3 separate regions of the Mus musculus genome follow, and regions 2 and 3 are each reported to be linked to region 1. The links are microRNA targets in miRTarBase. Many come from high-throughput screens and were not tested one by one. Region 1 holds a microRNA gene; each other region holds the end of a gene's coding sequence.
The links. The annotated mature microRNA mmu-miR-1930-5p reads ACCUCCAUAGUACCUGCAGCGU and lies in region 1 at 2,019-2,040, opposite strand. An mRNA with a match to its seed (bases 2 to 7 or 8) in the 3' UTR can be bound and repressed. Matches are read on the target gene's strand: a 7mer-m8 pairs with bases 2 to 8, a 7mer-A1 pairs with bases 2 to 7 and ends in A, and an 8mer does both.

Region 1 (3,255 bases):
ACCAGTTGCAACTGAATTCTACCTTATTACATATTTCTCTAGGCATTATCACTAAAAGGAGGAAGTGAAAGATGTATGGACAAATATTCCAAACTCAAGTTCCCAGCGAGTAAGATCCCTCACGGGGCCCTGCAGAGCAGGTGTTTAGACATCCCTAACTCAGGTGGCAGAGCCACCCCCACCACCGAAGTCCATGTCCGTGTAGCTAGAGCAGAAGCAAGACAACTGAACTCCTTAGGTGCGGAGAAAGGGGGGGCATGTGCACCAGAGCCACCCAGCTCAAAATTATTTTTACAAAATACAAAGACATCCATTTGGGCTGGAGAGGCAGCTCGGCCAGAGTTCAATTCCCAGCACCCACACGATGGCTCAGAATCATCCTTAACTCCAACTCAGGGGATCTGACTCAGTCTTCTGGCCTCTGTCTGTTATATAAAGACACACTTGCAGGCAAAAAACCCATACACATAAAATAAAATTGATATATACATATAAAAAAAACCCTGGTGTCAAATAAGTAAATGTTTTATTTTTACAAAATAGAATATCCTACTTGAATTTCAGCTCCATAGGCAAAAAGATCAGGATTATCAGTGGCAATGAAAAACATTTATAATGGGCGGTGGTGGTGCACACCTTTAATCCCAGCACTTGGGAGGCAGAGGCAGGCAAATTTCTGAGTTCGAGGCCAGCCTGGTCTACAGAGTGAGTTCCAGAATAGCCAAGGCTACATAGAAAAACCCTGTCTCGAAAAACCAAAAATAAATAAATAAATAATAAAAAAATAAAGAAAAAGAAAAACATTTATAAAAAGAAACATTATCCTAAATGCCATCATTGAAAATACACCACCACTGTCCATTTCTCTTAGGTAAGTTTGGCTTGGGCAAACGTGCATGGAAGTCAGCACTTGGGAGACAGACAGGAAGATCAGGAGTTCAAGGCCATCCTGAGTAATTTAAACTCTCCATCAAACCTCTCTTATGTATAATAGCTACTAGTAAAAGGAAGAAAGAAACCCCTACTCCCAATCAGGGCATAGTCGCGGACAGTATTATGGTCCCTTCCAGGCAGAGATGGAACTCCAGAGTACCAGTGAGTCCTCACCTACTTCCCACTCAACACAGCACAAGTGCTCCATTCCAAGCCTGAGTGACAGGAACTGTTTGTCTAGGAATTCCTAACATGTCCTCGGTGCCTACATGCAGGCTAACTACAGTGTGCCCTCTGCTCTGCGGTAGGACCACTGGGCTGTTTTGCTGTGTACATGTCTGTGTACGACAGCCTGGCTCCAGAGAGGCGAGCAGAGGGACCAGATTCCCAGGAGCCTCAGGTGTGAGCAACAATGTGGGTGCTGGGTCCTCTGCAAGAGCAGCAAGTGCTCTAAACCACTAAGCCACCTCTCTAGCCCAACTCCAAATGTCCGCCATTAAAATGACACTGTGACAAAGGCCAATGTAGGACACAAAGCACTCACGGCCTCAAAATTCTAGTAAGCCCATTAACACAGTGTTAAGTGTGTGCATTTCCCCTCTACATTAAGCTGACCTCAAAGCGGCAGTCCTGGTGCTCACACCGTAACTCACTGGTCACAGCTTAGAGTTGAGAGCCCTGTGCCTGCAGGCCCTCCCTGCCGTTCTTAATTAACAGTGTGGCTGGCACTCTGTTGCCTGTCAACCTCATTTAGACACACTTACTGTTGGGATGGAACATCTCACAGGTGAATCTCATCTTCGGAGGGCTCAAGGGGTAGTCAAGTGGGAAACTCAGGATGGCGGGAAAAACACCAAACTCAAAACAAGTGTCTTCAGGGCCCCTGAAAATCAGGAAAGAGACACATTTGCAATGCCAGCCACAACTCAGATGTGCAAGAGGGATACTACCACGGCCTAAAATGGTGCATGAACAATCTAAAGGACTGCTGCTTTCTCTCCCTGGAGAGTCCATCTCAGTCCTTTTCAGTCTGAGGCACGAACACAGCCACAGCCACAGTAACTGCACCATAGAGAAAGTCAAGCACGCTGCAGGTACTATGGAGGTGACCGTGGGCATGTGGTCCAGCTCCTATGAGGACTCAAGGTGTCAATTCTGGCAGACGGTAATCAAGAAGACTATGCACACAGATGAGGAGCTACGGAATATAGATCAAAGGACATTTTGAATTTTCAATTATGTCTAAGGTGTGACTTTTAGAACGGATAGGGCACACATGTGATCCTCAACTCATGCTCAATGCACAAGCAGCCTAAGGCCACAGCAGTCCCACCAGACCCTAAGACTCCAATCTGCACCATCCATGTCTTCTGTGTAAATAACAGAAATGGGCCAAGCCATCACAGAAGTCCTGCTCAAGTCCTAGAGACGGGGATGCTGACTGAGACCTGGCGGCAGGGACCTAGGAATGGGTGGGATGCTGCCAGACACCCACCCCTCCAGTCCAAACCTTACTAATGTGACCCACGTCAGCAGTTCAGGAGACCGTGGACACTGTTCACTATAAAAAGTCAGTAGGGCAGGAATCCTGGCTATAAGCTTCCTGCATTAGCATGGGTGAGATCATCTTGCAACAGCCAGCACAGCAGTAAAAACTGGCCCTGCACCACTCACACTGCCTGAGAGACCCAGGCCCCGCATCAACAGCAAAGTAGGCAGGGAGGCACACCTGACTCAACAGCCACACTGTCGAGGCAGGAACAGGAGGATCTAAAGTTGGAGACCAGCATAAGCAGCATAGAAAAAAATTTAAAAATTAAAATATATGTTTAAAAAATAAAGAACTCTGCTTCCCTGTCTAAGCAGATCTAAAACAGAAAGACCTTCCCACAGGATTTCCACAGACAGGATCCATGTTAGATCCACAGTTCCACAGAGATTGAAGATACCAAATGGAGAGGAAATAAGATATTGATTCAAAAGTCATCTTTACTTACTAGAAAAGACTTTCTAAACATACAAACTTATCTGGATGTAGTGAAGCCTAGTGTCTAGAGCAACCTGGTCTACACAAGATAAAATTGTCTCAAAACAAAACCAAAACCCAAGGCGAGCCAGGACGGGAGGGTGGCTCAGCTGTTGAGAAGGCACCCACTACTCTGCAGGGGACTTGAGTCTGAGTCTCAGCACTACAGTGGAGAGTTTGTAACCACTTTGGCTCTGGCTTCAGGAGGCTCCAACTCTGCTGGCAGCTGCGGGCACTTGCACTTAAGAGACACATGTATACACCCATACAGATGCACATATACATTTAAGAAATAC
Region 2 (3,255 bases), not on the chromosome of region 1:
CCTTCTCATATGTCGTGAACAGATGAGTTTGCCTGGGTGGTTTGTAGAGTAAAAATATAAGCCAAGGAGAGCCTTAAGGACTGCAGAGATGAACCTGTGGCTGTCACCCAGCTATAAGGCTCATGGGGTTTACAGTGTACTGTCTGTGGGGCCACCTTTTTCAGGCCTAATGCCAAACGAAGATACAAAAATCAGAAGTTTGGTTTTGGTGGAAAGAAGAAAGGCTCCAAATGGAACACGAAAGAGAGCTACGACGATGTCTCCAGCTTCCGAGCCAAGGTGGCTCACGGCAAGGGCTCCAGGAGGCCTGGGAAGAAAGGGGCAAATGTAAGTGAGGGGTCCAAGTTGGGGCCTGATTAGTATCTTCTCAACCCCCTTTCTACTCCCCTTGACTCCTCACCCTGGCACAGAAGGCCAAGTGCTGTGTGTGACAACATATGGTTTTTGTTTTGTTTGTGCAGAAGAGACCCGGAAAACGAGCAAGACAGAAACTGAAGAGTAAAGCCCGCTGAGTAGCATCATCTTCTATAAAGAACCCAGGAGAAGGGGGGTGTACAGCACACTCAGTGTTTGTCCTGCTTTTTGTAGAAAATTATTTTAATAAATTAAACTTATGGAAGAAAGATACTCTTGGGTTAAAACCAGATACTTTTTAAAAGATGGAGAAGTTTGCACATTAAAGAGTATTGCTGCTGTTGGGCTGTTGTGGTGCACACCTGTAATCCCAGCACTTGGGAGGCAGAGGCAGGAGATCTCTGTTGAGTTCAAGGCCAGCTTGGTCTACAGAGGGAGTTTGGGACAGCCAGGGCCACAGAGAGATGCCCTTTCTTGGAAAAAACAAACCCAAAATCCAAACCAAAAGAATCTTAGTGTTTGTTGGCCATGCCTCTCTTTTGGTAGCTGCAGGGCGGGCCTCCACCTTACCGTTTCTTCGTCTCCCAGATGCCCTTTTACATTAGTCCCCCGGGAGGACTGGCTGTGGCAGGTTCCTGTGAGAGCCCGGGTCTGCCATAAACTGTTACATGGTCTCTGTTTTAGGCCATCTAGATTGGTCCCTTACTTCCTGTGCCTGGTATTTTCCTTTCTTATTTTATGCCTTTTGTTGTGTTCCATTTTTAAGATCTTTTAAAGAAAGGAAACAGGAAAAATTTCCACCTCCTATTCTGAAAGCGACTTTAATTTGACTGGTATGAATTGTGGCTTAAGATGCGAGGGCTACAGGCAGGGTCCTGCTGCCTCCCTTGGCCATGAGGACCGTGGGGCTTCTCATTCCCGTCCTTCCCTCCTAAGCTTTTCTGACAGTGGAAGCCTATGTATGGTGCTCTGCTTTCTGGGCTGGTATTTATTCTTTGATTAGGCTATTTAGAAAGATTCAGGTTTTAAAAAATATATTGTTTTTCAAGACAGGGTTTCTTGGTTTAGCCCTGGCTGTCCTGGAACTCACTTTGTAGACCGGGTGTCCTCAAACACAACAGACATTGCCTGCCCCTGCCTCTGCCTCCGGAGTGTTGGGATTAAAGCTGTGTGCCACTTTATGTGACAGATTCAGGCTTTTATCTGCCTAGTAACCCCTCTCTGCCATTTTATCATCTCAGGAACTTGTGCTTTCCCACAGTTACAGTGTCCTGATGTTTCCTGGATGGGAATGGTAAGTTTTGAGAATATTTTCTTCTGTTCCCTTCATCCTGTTTGAACTGTTTTCTTCCTTGGACATTTGGCTCCAAATTACATTTTGTTTTGAGACATTCTCAAACTGTAGCCCAAGCTGGCCTCAAACTGCTCCCCCTCCCTCTGCCTCCTAGTGCTGGGATTGTAGGCTTGCTGGCATCCCCATTCAGATGCAGCACTTTAGTGTTAATGGCTATAGTGTATATGTGTACAGTGTTGATGGTGATCAGTCAAGGTAATGGGCGTTTGTATCTCGTTCTCACTGCCGGTGCCCAGAGCTTCCTGCTTCTAAAAGGGCAGATGGCTGTGTATTAGGCAGACCTGCCTCTGTGCTGTAGACACTCAGTTTTTATGGCTCTCTCTACCCTGTCTCCCTTTCTCACGTTAAACACTGCCCACTTCACAATTAAGGTATAACCCTATATTCTATATCCTTAAGCAGTCCCTCATTTGGGATTTATTCTGCTGGGGTTTTGTAGTAATATACCTGTGATGGTTTGCATATTCTTGGCCCTGGGAGTGGCACTATTAGGTGTGGCCTTGTTGGAGGAAGTGTGTCACTGGGGGTGGGCAATGAGACCCTCCTCCTAACCAGATGGGAGCCAGTCTTCTAGCAGCCTTCAGATGAAGATGTAGAACTCTCAGCGGTGCAATGCTTGCCTGGACTCTCATGCTCCACCTTGATGATAAAGGACTGAATCTCTGAACCTGTCATCCAGCCCCAATGAAATAAATGTTGTGCTTATAAGAGGTTGGTCATGATGTCTGTTCACAGCAATGCAAACCCTAAAACACTACTTTGTTGCTCTATCAAAATACCTGAGTTGAAGTACTTCATAAAGAAGGGTTATTTACCTCAGCTTTGGTCAGTTTAGGTCCAGAATGGTAGTGCCTTCAGACGAGAGCAGCGGTGGCATGATGATGGTAGGTCTTACAGCAAGCAGAGGTTGTGGGGCCAGCCTTGTTTAACTTGCTTTTGTAGGAACAAAATTTGTGACACAGGTACCAACTCCACCAATGTCAATGCTCCTGGGACCTAATACCTGCCCCTAGGACTCATCTCTTAAAGGACCCCCTCATCTCATCACTTAAAGGATTGTGTACCTTCAGCATGTGAGCCCCTGGGGGGCAGATGGGGTCTGGATACAGGGGCAGCTTTCCGTAATGTCTGCTGAGCCTTGCTGGTTGGGTTGGAGATGCTGAGGTGCTTATGAGAGACTGCAGGTGTGCTGTGTGGCCCCTCTGGGTCCTGCTGCTAAATGGGGTAGTAACCAGCTTGTCTCTGCTCTCCTCTTTGCTCCTGAAATCATGCTTTGTTTTTAAGAAAGTTGAAAATAAGAACCACATGTATTACTAAGAAGATTTTCATGTTTTCTTATGGCATGCGGGTGCACACATGAGACAGTTGTGGTTTTATATGCTAGTGAATTTCTAGAAGCAAATAGTTTTGATCTCATTTCGGCTAAGTTCTGGTGGCACTGTTGTGTTTTCAGAAGACCTGATATTAACAGTTGACAGCACTCTGGGGTGTAGTGTAACCTCATCAGCCCAGTGGGAGCTGCAGAAGTAGAAGCTTTGAGTTCTGTG
Region 3 (3,255 bases), not on the chromosome of region 1:
ATCTTTTCCCTACAAAAAAAATGATAATTCTGATGATATGAACGACACTTAGGTGACATTTTGTTAGACCCCAAGCTGCTTCAGGCCACTGACACCCGTGATCTCCCTGTCCCTCTGCCACGAATTGTTTTATACTCATACAGAGACTTTTTTAAAACAAGATATTACCCAAATGCTCTCTATCCCTACACCCTCACAGCGGCATGGTCTATAAGAGAGAGGTTGGGTCCAAGGACCAGTGGTCCCAGTCATGAAGAGATACTTATAGAACTGGGCAAGTGGGGTCGAGGTGAGGGCGAGGATGGTGAAGGTGGCAGAGCCAGTGGAAGAAGCAATGCCAAGCTCTGCTACTCCCCGAGGCTAGTACAGCTACAGGTGGATTCCTGCTGTCAACAGGGAAGGCAGAAAGTCTGGGATGTCACAGCCCCGCTTGTTTCTAAAGGGAAGAAGCCAGGAGAGCCCATGTGTTGCCCAGTGCCACCTCTTCAGTGTTCTTGCTCCATGCAGTCTAGAATTCCAGGCATCTCAGATGAAACACAAGCTGGCCCACCTCACCCACCCTCTGGCTCTTTTCTCTTGATAATCTCCCCTGGCTTGGCTTCATAGAAGAAAAGGGATATAGAGGGACATGCAGCAGGGAAAATGGCTCTCACAGGAGATTCCCCAGGCCGACTGAACATGCTGCTTTCCATGCTGATGGAAAATCCCATGTGCCACCACCATCCAACACAGATGAGAAGAAAGAGGCTTAAAGAACTTCTTGGGCTGGAGAGATGAGTCAGTGGGTGACGGTGCTTGCTGCCAAGCCTGGAGTTTGATCTCCAGGTCCCACATGGTGAAAAGAGAGAACTGGCTCCAGCAAGTTGTCTTCTGACTTCCACACATATTCTGGGGACACACATACGCATATACACGCAGACACACAAACATGCACACACACACACACTGAATTTAATTTTTTTTAAAGTTTTAAGGTCACTCATGGCACTTTCAGTAGACAGAAGACAGAATCAGATTCTGCTGGGTTCTAGCATGGAGCAGCAATGTGTCTCATGGGCTAGATGATGGTCAGAGGGACTGCTAGGTTCACAGCCTGGGTGATCTGTGTGCTTCTGGAAGCACAAAAACGTCTAGCACAAAAATATGAACATCCCTTTTAATGAATATGGAGGCAGAGTTTACAGATGGAAATAAATGGGAGCTTAGGAGGTTTCCATTTGTTTATAAAAATTAGTGTCACCTGTGCTGTGCCAGGGCCACCAGGGCAGCAGAGCCTTGGGAACACTCACCGGGGACATGGGCCTGGTGGGCCATGCTTCCCGGGCCATTGTTCACGTGGAGATGTGAATGCCTACTGCTTACAATACCTGTATAAAGTGCTGTGTGATTAAAAAAAAAATTAGTGTCATTTTTGAGAAAAACTAAACAACCACCACCTTCGCCCACTATTTTAAGGCCACAAACCACAGCCTGGCTCTGTCTTGGCTGCTTGGGCATGGCTGTCGTGTCTAAGTCGGCTGCAGTGCTAGCTTCTTCCATGGTTTAACGGCTATGTCCTGTGATGTCGGAGCGTCTCCCTCACACACAGCATCACACTAGTTCCAGCAGCTTGGTTTCCCCTGTCTCAGTTCTGCAGTGTGGGCCTCATCATGACCACACATCTGGGTTAGTATAGACTGGGTTCTTCCATGTGTTCCTGGCAGGGACCACAGCCCTGTAAAGAACATTATGGACACATGGAAGACAGGGCTGGGGCCCACTTCCAGTTTCCAGTTAAAGACGATGAAATCAGTTCTATAATCCAGTCATTTCTGTAGGACCTCCACTCTGGAAGCTTCCTGATCCGGGGAAAACAAGGCCAGTCTCCAGAGTTACACAACACACCAAGCCAGACAGCTGTCCACAATTTCCATTTTAATATAAATGGGGTTCTGTCCCTGATAACTTCAGCTGGAGAATTACATAGCTTGATTGGACATCAACATTTAATAAAATTCACATCAAGATCATAAAGCATTTAAAATACAAAAATAAGTCTTTTAATTAAAAAGAGCACTGAGCAGCCCAGCAACGTCCAGAAGCAACCCATAGTCCACAGGCAGGGAGATCTCCGGCTGCGCCCAATGACTACGAGAGCTGCGAGGATCCAGAACCTCCAGGCAGTTTGGTACAGAACGTTCTGACTTCTAGATAATTTCCTGTCCAGCAGAAGACATTACAAAAGAGGCTGCAATGAGCCATCCCACTCAGGATGTCCCTGGCCTTCTGCAGAGGACAGTGGGATTACCTAAGAGGCAGAAAACCTCTGCAGGGAGCCCTGACTGTCATTTGGACAGGTGGGCACCCAGGCAAGCTGTAAGGGATATGCACTGGCCATCAAGTGAGGATTCAAATTCAACTGGCATCCTCCTTCGTCCCATTTGCATCTTCTTTTTTATTTTTTTATTTTATTTTATTTTTAATATTTATCTATTTATTGTACGTAAGTACATTGTAGCTGTCTCCAGGCACTCCAGAAGAGGGTGTCAGATCTCATTACAGATGGTTGTGAGCCTCCATGTGGTTGCTGGTATTTGAACTCAGGACCTTAGGAAGAACAGTCTGCGCTCTTAACCGCTGAGCCATCTCACCAGCCCCATTTGCATCTTCTAATGATTGTCGGTATGATTAAAATGGCCCTGCAATGGTAAAAGAACACACTGTGAGCATTAATTCACTCTACATTCAATAACAGGCTTCAGTTAGATATTCACCAACACAGAGAACACTATAATAACTGGGCTAGCTTGGGTGTGATGACATAGGCTTATAATCCCCACACATGTGAAGCATCCACACACAAGAGCATAGCCAGCCTGTGCTACAGAGTAAGTTCCAGGCCAACCTGGCCTTCACAGTGAGACCCTGTCTCAAAAATAAGATAATAGTAATCACTACTATATTATCAGGGGAGGGGGAGAGACACACACACACATACACATAGTAAACAGGCTAGCTGCTGTATACCACCTCTGGAGTACTGGGGTTACAGAAATGATACTTCTGTACAGGCCTGGCTTGTGCTTATAAAGAATGGCTTCTAAGTCATAACTTATATATTTATTAATATCCCTACACTGTAGCTAAGGTATTAAAGTATCCCTACTCCCACAAAGAACAGTCTAAACACATGGTGCATCCTCTATTACTTGCAGAAAAAGAATGAAAATATCACTCAGCCTGTCATAAAATAAAAATTTTAAACATGCTGTCAGA

Region 2: miRTarBase lists Ebna1bp2 as a target of mmu-miR-1930-5p. Seed matches in the 3' UTR shown: 7mer-A1 at 2,213-2,219.
Region 3: miRTarBase lists 9430038I01Rik as a target of mmu-miR-1930-5p. Seed matches in the 3' UTR shown: 7mer-m8 at 2,553-2,559.

The regions. Positions count from the first base shown.
Region 1 is chr10:77,640,021-77,643,275 of GRCm38, reverse strand. Mir1930 (microRNA 1930) reads right to left here and starts at 2,052; the gene lies at 1,969-2,052. Ube2g2 (ubiquitin-conjugating enzyme E2G 2) reads right to left here. Exons shown (of 6, transcript NM_019803.3): 4 at 1,698-1,816.
Region 2 is chr4:118,625,359-118,628,613 of GRCm38, forward strand. It overlaps Ebna1bp2 (EBNA1 binding protein 2), which reads left to right. Exons shown (of 9, transcript NM_026932.4): 8 at 165-327; 9 at 462-2,418. The coding sequence ends at 512. It overlaps D4Ertd617e (DNA segment, Chr 4, ERATO Doi 617, expressed), which reads left to right and starts at 1,046. Exons shown (of 3, transcript NR_029469.1): 1 at 1,046-1,648.
Region 3 is chr7:137,373,674-137,376,928 of GRCm38, forward strand. 9430038I01Rik (RIKEN cDNA 9430038I01 gene) reads right to left here. Exons shown (of 4, transcript NM_029886.2): 4 at 1,896-2,678. The coding sequence ends at 2,649. Among named protein-coding and RNA genes, the nearest start is that of 9430038I01Rik, 35 kb to the right of the region's middle.